3 linked regions of the Mus musculus genome follow. The protein of the gene in region 2 interacts with the protein of the main gene of each other region in a biochemical or structural test. Links are inferred from orthologs where the notes say so. Each region holds a gene or a part of one and is shown on either strand. Other genes may lie near its edges.

Region 1 (3,652 bases), on a different chromosome or scaffold from region 2:
TGAAAAGAAATACTTTCTTAGGTATATGGCTGTCTTATTTTTCTCACTGTAGTAAAATAACTGACAAAGCTTTAAGGGAAAAAGGCTTTGTTCTGACTCATGAGTTCATGGAACTCTGTCATGGTAGGAAAAGCCTAGCAACAAGACTTAATCTTGTCTGTGTTGGTGGGTCTGTGAGATCACTGCTCACATTGTGCTAACAGACAAGCAGCTGAGAACTAAACTGGAAAAACAGAATGTTAGTAACTTTCTACTGCACTGACCAAAGCTACTTGGAGAAAAAAATAAGGTTATTTGGTTTATAGTCATCAAGGGAAGCTAAGAAAGAAACTGAGGCAGAGACCAGGGAGAAACCATGCTTCCTGGCTTACTCCCAATATGGTGTCTTCAACTTGCCTTTTTAGACTACCCAGGAACCACATGCCCAGAGGTTGCACTGCTCAGTGGTCCAGGCCCTCCCATAGCCATCATTAATTTAATTTAAAAGAAAAACCTCTGTAGATCTGAGTCCCCACAGGCCAATCTGGAGGAATTTTCTCAATTGTGGTTCTCTCCAAAAACTAGCACAAGATGGCTAATAGGCTCCAATTAAAGGGTTTTTTAAAACCTGCCAAACAATGTCATAAGGGGGTCCAAGTATCCATACACATAGGTCTATGGGTGATAGTTACAGCAACAATTAAGACTATTCAAGTTTTTAGTGACACAAGAGATCTTTCATAACTTAAGAAAGTAATTTTTTTCAAGCCTGATGAGTAATTTTATTGTCTTGATTTAATAGGGACAGCTATTCTAATTAAGAATGGCTTTACCAACAAACACAGACCAAATGGGCTTAATGTTTGTCTGTTTGAGCTATAGCACCATTTAATTAATACTGGCACTTAGGAGCAAAGTCTGTTTAGAGCATTGGTTTTGGATCTCTGTAGAATTGGGTTTCTTCAACCTGTAGAAAAGTGTAGTGGACTTGAAAGTGAATTAATGGAGACAGTTTTAACTTGGAGCACACACAGTAGACTGGATCAGTCATTCTCTTTTGCTTTTTTCTTTTGCTTTGTTTTTGAGACAGCCTTCTGTTATGCAGCCCTGGCTGGCCTAGAACTCTATGTAGATCAAGCTGGAGTAAAACTCAGAGAGATCCACCTACTTCTTTGTCCAGAATACTGATTTCAGTGTCCTACCACTCCAGGCATAGTCATTCTGTTTGTATTATTCCTGATTACTTTGAAAACTCTGTAAGGAAGCAATGGATGTAATTTCCTCCCTAAAGCTCACAGTAGATGTCTCTTGTAATGTGTAACAAGTTTAGGCACAGTATGGGTTTGATCCTTAACATAGTCTGTTTTTCTTTGCTCATTTTAGTTGCTTTCAATGCTTATAATAAATTAAGAAATCAAAATGAAATAATATGAATGTTTCAGTGCATGTTAGGAAAAAAATCAGTTTTCATGCTTTGGTAATGAGATAACAGGGAAACTTTAAAAAAAAGTTTTAGGTATATGAATATTTTGCTTGTGTGTATTTAGATTAACATTAACACTGTTTCACTTATGTGAAATTTTCTGATTTCTTCTTTGCTCCCTCAGGTGTGTGATCTGTATGATGGACTTTGTTTATGGGGACCCAATTCGATTTCTGCCGTGCATGCACATCTATCACCTGGACTGTATAGATGACTGGTTGATGAGATCCTTCACGTGCCCCTCCTGCATGGAGCCAGTGGATGCAGCACTGCTTTCATCCTATGAGACTAATTGAGCCAGGGTCTCTCGTCTGACTTCAAGTGAACCATCAGTTTTGGTGGTTTTGATCTTTTGTCACTGAGCCCAAAGAGCCAGGGATTAGGAATTAAGATCATGCACAAAAGTTTCCTAAAAATTCCTGGATGGCTGCAGATGTTGAGGGAAGTATGTGATATTTTAGAAATTTAGGGGGAAAGTAGGATGGATGGTATTTTTATGTAAAGCCTTGACCCAGTGTTTAAAATATAATTGTTATTAGACCTTGTTCTTGCTCCAGTACATAGGAATTGTGTAAAGTGTTACAGCAACTGTACATGTTTAAATTGTGTGTGTTGAAGCTTAGGAAAAAGATAGTTGTTATTTTTCCTAAATGAAATAAGTTTCTTCTCCCACCCAAATTCTTTTCTGAAAAGTTACTGACATTTGGGTCAAGGTTTTATTAAAAGCTACATTTTATAACACTGGCACAAAAAAAAAAAAATAGTAGTTTTAAGCTTGTTTGCACAGTTCTTTTTTTCCATTGGAAATGGAATTCATTGCCTTAGGTCTTTTTAAATAGTGTATTATTATCGTTGGGGCTGGCTCTATGCTTGAAAACCAGTTTATTTATAACCTGTTGTAAGTGCTATATTCTGTTTGCAGTTAGGAAATGCAGAATTCACAGTGATCTCCTAGCTTGTAAGCAAACTGAGATGCACTATCCCTTTTCTATTAAGAATGAGTTGATGTGTCAGGAAACAAGGCTAGCAAAGTGGATTTGATATCCCTTTCCTTGTGTGTCTTATCTTATTGTTTTGGTGGTTAATATGGTGATAATTGAAAGTCAAGTTGAAATTCAAATATTAATATTTCTGATTTGTTGAGCTTTGAATTATGCCACCATGCTTATATAAAAACGAAGGTGGCACCATGATGAAACTTAAAGAAACAGTTTCTCATCTGTAACAGTTTTGATTCTCTTTCCTGTGACCTCTTTCCCCACTGTCTGGAACCATAGCAAAAGGATACTGCATCTCTTGTTACTGTAGTGCTGAGGTTATTGAAGTTACAGAAACACATCTGGTGTGTTTCCTAGAAAAGTACCTGTTCAGTCTTGCTAGGTGACTGACAGGAGAGGCAAATGTGTTATGTTTTGCACACCAATGCAGCAGGGTTTGTATAACCACATGACTTCATAGTTGTGATCTCAAAGGAACTTCTCCTTTATTTTTTCTTGCAATTAATGTAAGAATACTCTAAATCTCTGCACTTCTGAAGGATTAGAGGTAGAAATGGTCTAGTAAAGTGTAATGTTTTATTCATTTAGCATGTGTTTATTTTCCTTATGTTCTCCAGGTGATTCGTTCCTTCCACTCAGTGATATTGTGGTTAAAAAATGATGAGCAGAAGCGCTCTCCACCTTACAAATGAGAAATGTTCTTTTATATTGTGTTGAGTACTTGACTAACACTTTTTTACATACAAAAGTTTCTTGAAGGTTCTTCATAATTGCGGTGTAGAAGAAATTATGTCATAAATAGTTAATTGACATTGAGTTGAAGCAGTCATACATTGCTTAGATTCCCAGTAGATCCCATGATGGAAATATTTAAAGATGAACTTGGAAATACTGAAATTAGACTATCAGGTTCTGTTAAATTGTCTCGTATATCTTGCTTAATTTCTGTTCATTAATTTATATCCATCCAATTATAAAGTAAATTTGGAGGAAACAGCTGAAGTTGTGCCATATTTTTAGTGATAACTCTTTTTAAATTCTTATGTTTTCTAATTATACACTTGTGTGTCATCAAGTATTATAGTCAGACTTTTTTCCCAGGTTCTCAAAATTTGTAAATGTACTTTTCCCAGTCTTTCATGGTGCAGTCTAAGAATAACAACAATAACAAAACCCCCTTCTGTCTCAGATA
Region 2 (3,652 bases):
GGGAGCACCTTGTATCCACACACACCAACTTGGGGGCGCATAGGAAAAGGAGCCTGGCTTTGAGGTTGTAAGTGACATGTGTTTAAGGCCAGGTGCCATAGCATCAGCAGTGCTGTCTGAGCAAAAGGCTTAACCGATGTCCCTCTGCCAACAAAACACGTGCCACAGAATATTTGCATCCCAAGCAATAAGAACACACTAGGTTTGCTTTTCTTTTCCTCTCTGTAACCTTGGCTGTCTTGGAATTCCCTCTGTAGACCAGGTTGGCCTCTGCCTCCCAAGTGCTGGGATTAAAGACCTGTGCCACCACCCACCACTGCCTGGCCTTTTTTTTTTTTTTTTGTGGTTTTTCAAGACAGGCTTTCTCTGTATAGTCCTGGCTGTCCTGGAACTCACTTTGTAGACCAGGCTGGCCTTGAACTCAGAAATCCGCCGGCCTCTGCCTCCCGAGTGCTGGGATCAAAAGCGTGCGCCATCACACCCGGCTTTTTTTTTTTTTTTTTTTTGAAATAGAATCTTGCTATGTAGTTCAAGATAGTCTTAAACTCAAGATCCTCCTGCCTCAGCTTCCAGAAGACTAGGATTATAGGCATATGCTATTATGCTTAAAATATACATTTGCATCCTATTTTAAAAGATGACTAACGCAAATTTAGACTTATGACTCAAGCTGAGCTTAAGCAAAGATTAGCAGTCTAGAGGATACACTTTCAGTCAGCACACATGCCCCATACAAACACAGAAGAGAAGACGACACCACGCTCCCCAAAAGGAGAACACAACGTCAGGCAGCTTTGCCCAGGCTTTCTGAGCGCTCTGTGGGCAACTGCTGATGAGTTCTGACTAGTCCCGCTTTGCGGATTCTCCCTCCTCTCCAGCAGTTTTGAAAAGGAAGCGCTGAAAGGTGAAGGAAGCAATGGCCACTGAATGATCCACCACAATCATCAGCAATGTTACCAACTCAAGCAAAATGCAACAGCTTATCCCACAGAAAAGCAATCCTAAACAATTTAAGATGGTCTGAAGTCATATAGTAAATAAAGCGCTCTGAACAAACAACTGGCTAAAAGAAAGGCAGAGGAGGCATCTTAGGTGAGTAAAGGTTTTGCCAAGCTGAGATGTCAACATGGAGGTGAATGACCTTCCCTACAGAAGTAAAGCAGGGTGACCACAAGGTACAAAACAGAGCATCAGTACCTAGGCTCCAACCTACATTCCACAGCGCACTCTGTGATCACAGAGAAGCCTGTCAGAACCCTCTCCAGAAGGAGCTGCGAAGGCAGTTCCATGCAGGAGCTAGTCAGAGATCTTTATAAGCACAGGGCTTATAAAACTGCAACATACCCCAGACAACGTGATTCTCTCCACCCATGCACGAGTAGATGCCAGGTACCTGTGTGCCCATCCCATGACACCTCACCTTGTAGTGCTTTGAAGCCCTGCAGAGGCACTCGAGAGGACCCTGTCACAAACTGGAGCAACCGTGCTCGTCTCTCTTCATCAAAAAACTCCACCGCTTTCCAGAACCACTTGACGACATTGCTGTCTGGGGTACAGTGTTTTAACCGGGTGTTGACCTTCCAGTCACTCACATCAATTTTGCCAAGTCCACAAATAATGAGCTGTTGAAATATTTGCAGGAGTGGTAAGCCAGTGGGCATCAAAGCTGCGCCTCCCAAGTCGTCTTAGATTAGCAGTGAGCATCCCACAGGCGCACAGCTGCACTACCTGGAAAGCTTTCAGAACAGACCCAACAGACCCTGTGCTGCAGAGACTGTAACTCTGTCTGCTGGCAGTCAGCTCGGAATCCTTTCTTTTTTCTTTCTTTTTTTTTTTGGAGACAGGGTTTTTCTCTGTGTAACCTTAGCTAACCTGGAACTCACTCTCTTGAACAGGCTGGCTTCAATCTCAGAGACTTGCCTGCCTCTGTCTCTCCAGCTCTGTCATTAAAGGCAAGTGACACCACTGCTCTGTATCTTTAAATCTCCAGAAGTATCTACTCATTGTAGGTCCTGTCCCCAGTGTCTGATAATCACTGTAATGGACTCTGACAAGAACAAAGAGTTGTAAAAACTCCAGTTCAAAATAGAATTCTAAAATTTTAAAACATTAGACAAAAATCAAGACTCAGTAAACACAAGCTGGGCGTAACACACCATGCTTATCATCCCAGCACTAAAGAGGCTGAGGCAGGAGGATCAACATGAGTTTAAGGCTAGCTTGAGCTACTACCTTGTCTCCAAAAGAGGATGAGAAGAAATAATACTACAGGTTTCTCTGTGCCTTTCTTAGGTCTGCACTGATTTACATTCATTTTAACACTGTTAGCTTACAATCTGAGGCAATTCATCAGCCTGCAGTGTTCTTTGCTCTAATATCACAGTCACCTCTACCTCATTTTACCTGTGAAAATGATCCAGAGTGTACCACAAGAAACATGTTGGATATGTAACATAATTCACTTAACTAACAACTTTGACATTATATTAAAATGTAAATACTTGAGGGCCAGGCGTTGTGGCACACACTTTTAAACTCAGCATTCAGGCAGAGGCAGAGCTGCTGAGTTGGAGGTCAACCTGGTCTACACAAAGTGAGTTCCAGAACAGCCAATGCTACCTAGAGAAACCTTTGTCTTGAAAAAAAAAATACATGAATTCTGCTATAGTGTCCACTTGACATCCTAATACAATCAATATTTAAGAACTATACTAAAGTCATTTTGATACTAACATGTCTCTACAGATTAAAATATACACATACACACATATATAACTAGTTTGCTTTATTCATTTAATTGTATGTAGGTAGGTAGGTAGGTAGGTAGGTAGGTATACATGAACACAAGCTACAATACACAGGTGGAATTCAGAGGACAACTTTCAGGAATCATTTTTCTCCTACCATCTAGGGTCTGGGAATTGAACTCAGGTCATCAGATTTGTTGGCATGTGGCCTCACCTGTCAAATCATCTTGAGACCCCAATCAACAGTTTATCAGGGAATTCTAACAGTGTGTAAGCTATAATTTAATCTATATAGTTCACATTTCAATAGTGACAAAACTACACTGTAAGCCAGGCGTGGTGGCACATGCCTTGAATCCCAGTACTCTGGAGGCAGAGGCAGCGGATTTCTGAGTTGGAGGCCAGCCTGGTCTACAAAGTGAGTTCCAGGACAGCCAGGGCTACACAGAAAAACAAACAAACAAACAAACAAAAAACCCTACACTGTAAATCTTGCCCACCAAATAAAATTCACCTCCCAAAAGGGTGGTCTGAATATGTATGGCCCATAGGGAATGGTACTGTTGGGAGAAGTGGCCTTGTTGGAGGAAGCGTGTCGTTGTGGGGTGGGCTTTGAAGCTCCACCCAGTGTGGAAGGGTCAGTCTGCTCCTGGCTTCCTTTGGGTGAAGCTGTAGAACTCTCAGCTCCTCCAGCATCATCCCTGCCTAGACACTGCCATGCTTCCACCTTGATGATAATGGACTGAACCTGTAAGCCATCCCCAATTAAATGTCCTTTATAAGAGTTGTCTTGGTCATAGTGTCTCTTCACAGCAATTAGAACACTAACTAAGACAATGGCTCTGAAATAATGAATTCAGACCACTAAAAATGCTTTGTAAATCCTGTTTGTCAGAAGAGTGCCT
Region 3 (3,652 bases), on a different chromosome or scaffold from region 2:
GAGCTTAGTATTTTTTAACCAACAAGGCAAAGAGTATAGAACTACAGATAGCGAGCATCACTGATCCCTTCTCCAACCTCAGCTTACTTCTGCCTCGTCGGGATCAACCGTTTCCTCACCTGAGAAATGACATTGATTACCAGAAATTAATGCTGACATTGTAAATGGTAGCAGCTAGTAAATGTACGGGTGGCTTTGTCTGAGCTGCGCAGACCTTGTTACTTTGGACCATCTTGCTGAGCAGGTCAGACAGCGCTGCAGATACAGGCTGTGATAGCCTCCCTGAGTGACTCACATAGGTTTTTATTGTCCGTGTTTTTGTGTTTTAATGAGACCATTTTATTTTAAAGAATATTAGTTTACTCTGCCCTTTTTCATGTCACCCAACTGAATTTTACTTTACTATAATTTTATCTTTTATATTTTTAAAAAAACTTTTGCTAGCTTCTTATGTGATTTGGTCAGGGAATTATCTGAAAAGTCGACTTTTGTACTTAACTGCGATCCCTCCCGCCCCTCCCACGCACCTCTGTGTGTGAGGGTTTCCAGGACTGTTTGTCAGGCACACTGCCCTCTGAGTGTATCCTCCGGGCCTGACCCTCATCCTTCACTCAGAGCTCAATGCAAGATTGAGGTTTAAAGATTTGTTCATTAATTATTAATTTAGTCATTTATTAAAGACACCATAGCTGTCTTCAGACACTCCAGAAGAGGGCGTCAGATCTCGTTATGGGTGGTTGTGAGCCATCATGTGGTTGCTGGGATTTGAACTCGGGACCTTTGGAAGCAGTCAGTGCTCTTAACCACTGAGCCATCTCTCCAGCCCCTCACATAGTCTTAAGACAGTAGAATGGCAGCATCTGTGTTTATCCTCTACCTGTGGTTTGCTGTTGGTTTGACTGGTTATTCCCTCTGCCCCATAACGAAAGCAGCTGCTGCTACTTAGGAAAGTCTGTTAACCTAGTGTGTGTTTGCACTGCAAAGTAGGCGGTTACGTAACAGGGTAGACATGATCTTTTTTATTTTTTTTTAAGTCTTTTCTTAACTTAGTGGAAAATTTGCCCAGACATTAGTTAATTTACTCAAAATTAACTCAATTTTTAAGTGAATTTTAAAACAACAGGTAATTTGAATGAAACCATCTCATTACCATATACTTTCCTATATCATTGAAATATTTTTATGAGCATTACTTCGAAAAGTCAAAATTGTTAAAAATCCTAGAGAAAGATGCAATGCTGTGGTATATTTTGGAATTGTAGTTGAGGAAAGCATGACTGAGCGAAAGTCATGGAAATGCCTCAGAACTGGTTCTGCATGATGTGCAGGCCCACGGAAGAGAGCAAGCCTTCTGAAGCTAATCACCTGTGCTTTGTTTTAGGAAGGGGAGTGCGCTTGTATTACATAGGTGGGGAAGTGTTTGCTGAGTGCCTAAGTGATAGTGCAATCTTTGTGCAGAGCCCCAACTGTAACCAGAGATACGGCTGGCACCCTGCAACAGTGTGTAAGATCCCACCAGGTATGGATTCAACCCTGTAAATAAACCTCTCATCTCACTTGCTTCATTAACTTCGCTAGTTGCTCATGGCTTTAGGAATTAGGAGCTGATTTGCATGCTCATTCTAAAACATGGATCCTTTTAAAAATATTTTTTCATAATATATTTTACTGTTTCTCAATTTTAGGCTGTAACCTGAAGATCTTCAACAACCAAGAATTTGCTGCTCTTCTGGCTCAGTCTGTCAACCAGGGTTTTGAAGCCGTTTATCAGCTAACCCGAATGTGCACCATAAGAATGAGTTTTGTGAAGGGCTGGGGAGCAGAATATCGGTATGACTCCCCCGTTCAAGTTTCGACTTTCTCCACTGTGATTATTTTTATTCTCTTCTTTGTATCTTCTGTAGTTCATGTATGTCTGTTTTCAACAGATCTTTATATAAAATAATAAAAGAAAGAGGGCTAAGTATATAACTCAGTTAGTGGAGTGCTTGTGTGTCCTGTGTGAAGTGCTGGATTTAATCCTTGGAAACACATAATCGAGGTGTTGGGATGTGTCTGGGAGTTCATGGCCATGCATGAATTGCATGAGGCCTGTAGATAAGAAACTTGAAATGACTGTATTATAGAAGAGGAGACTAAATTGGATTTAAACAGGCACTTTATGAAACCAGAGGTGTCTACTTTGTGCTCAAGGGAAGTTTCCTGATTGGAATGGCACGAGACCTGGGTTCTAGAGGATACATGGAGAGTTTCAGGAGATAGAAAAGGCAGTGTCAGTCTGGCAGCAGAGCAGCCCTCTGATTAGAAGGAGGATAAAAGTAAGATTGAACAGTTTCGTTGAGAACATCTGAGTGTAGTCCCCCTCATCGGTGGTCTCACTCTGCATTCTCCAGTCTGCTGGTGTTAGTGAACTGTATCTCCCAGTCTGCTACACGTGCAAGCCTGGCAGAAATTCTTGTGTGTAGAAAACCAGACGCCTGTACTTGGAAGTTGGCTAGAGCATACTGAAAACCCAGGCTTCTACTGGGTTGATAGCATGTGATAAAGAGTACTGCATATATGCTTAGGCACTGAGCTTCCCTTACAGTGCTTTTAATTATGTGTATATCATGTGTATATATGGGTCTGTGCTTGTGTGAATAACAGTGCCTGTGAAATCCAGAGGAGGGTTGTAGATCCCCTAGAGCTGGAGTTACAGGTGTTTATGAGTTGCCATATGTGGGTCCTGGTAACTAAACTTGGTCCTCTAAAAGAGCATGGCATATTCTTCCCTGCAGAGCCATCAGCCTCTTGGGTATCTAGTCCTAAATTCTATTGGGCATGAATTGTTTAGAGATGGAGAGCTGATAATGGCCTTTTATCATGATTGAAGAATATCATGTTGAAGAAGCAAAAGTAATTGTATTGACTGACTCTGTGTAACAAATAAGATAGAGCTAAGTCCAGTGTCGGAGAATAGGGTAACAATGTTCTGTGATCCAGGGAGTAGGCAGTGGTCCCTTTGTTAAAGCATTAGAAGGTTTTAATTTTGCTTTTTAAACTAGAAGCCTGAGGGATGTTACTGACAAGGATGTTGCTTATTGTGTGTCTTAGAGAATTGTAGCTTCAAGTCTTAACATTGTATGGCAAGGATTTAGCTTGGGTCAGCAGACTTTAAATTTGAGCCTTGTTCCAGTTAGATTTCATGGATATGTGTAAAAGTAGGGCTCCATATGTGTCAGTTTACTTGGGGCAATCTTTTCGGGTTTTTGTCTCTCCTCCCAGCCTCATTACTAAGTAGTACCTAAATTTTCTCCTATAGGTGTATCATTTGAGGTGTTAGTTAAATAATAGTATCAGTAGACTAATTTAACTTCAGAAAAAAAGGATGTTTTTGTAAATCTTTCAAAAAGATGGAATTCTGGGGAGATGGCTCAGTTGGTAGAGCTCAAAAATTGGCAAGTACAAGGATTTGAGTGTGAAGCTCTAGCACCCAAAAGAACCAGCCATGGCTGTGAGTGTGTATAACACCATCGTGGGTGGAGATGGGGGTGCTGGGACTGAGGAACCGAGGCCCCGGGGACAGATGGATTCTAGGAGCTTGCTGGCCAGCCAGCCAGTCAGTCCAGCTAGAATAGCGAGGGAGCTTCAGGTTCAGGGAGTGACCCCGACG

The links. The genes of interacting proteins can lie anywhere in the genome.
Region 1: the proteins of Smurf2 (region 2) and Rnf11 form a complex in vitro, tested with the Homo sapiens proteins (3 studies listed by BioGRID and IntAct, with this or other methods). The link is inferred for Mus musculus from reciprocal best matches to the Homo sapiens genes SMURF2 and RNF11.
Region 3: the proteins of Smurf2 (region 2) and Smad2 form a complex in vitro, tested with the Homo sapiens proteins (3 studies listed by BioGRID and IntAct, with this or other methods). The link is inferred for Mus musculus from reciprocal best matches to the Homo sapiens genes SMURF2 and SMAD2.

Annotation. Positions count from the first base shown.
Region 1 is NC_000070.6:109,452,357-109,456,008, reverse strand, and holds the end of Rnf11 (RING finger protein 11), read left to right. Parts: intron 1-1,586; coding exon 1,587-1,758; 3' UTR 1,759-3,152; downstream 3,153-3,652. UniProt on the Homo sapiens protein: Essential component of a ubiquitin-editing protein complex, comprising also TNFAIP3, ITCH and TAX1BP1, that ensures the transient nature of inflammatory signaling pathways. Promotes the association of TNFAIP3 to RIPK1 after TNF stimulation.
Region 2 is NC_000077.6:106,823,189-106,826,840, forward strand, and holds part of Smurf2 (E3 ubiquitin-protein ligase SMURF2), read right to left. Parts: intron 1,623-3,652; coding exon 1,421-1,622; intron 1-1,420. UniProt on the Homo sapiens protein: E3 ubiquitin-protein ligase which accepts ubiquitin from an E2 ubiquitin-conjugating enzyme in the form of a thioester and then directly transfers the ubiquitin to targeted substrates.
Region 3 is NC_000084.6:76,300,698-76,304,349, forward strand, and holds part of Smad2 (mothers against decapentaplegic homolog 2), read left to right. Parts: intron 1-1,381; coding exon 1,382-1,519; intron 1,520-1,685; coding exon 1,686-1,830; intron 1,831-3,652. UniProt on the Homo sapiens protein: Receptor-regulated SMAD (R-SMAD) that is an intracellular signal transducer and transcriptional modulator activated by TGF-beta (transforming growth factor) and activin type 1 receptor kinases.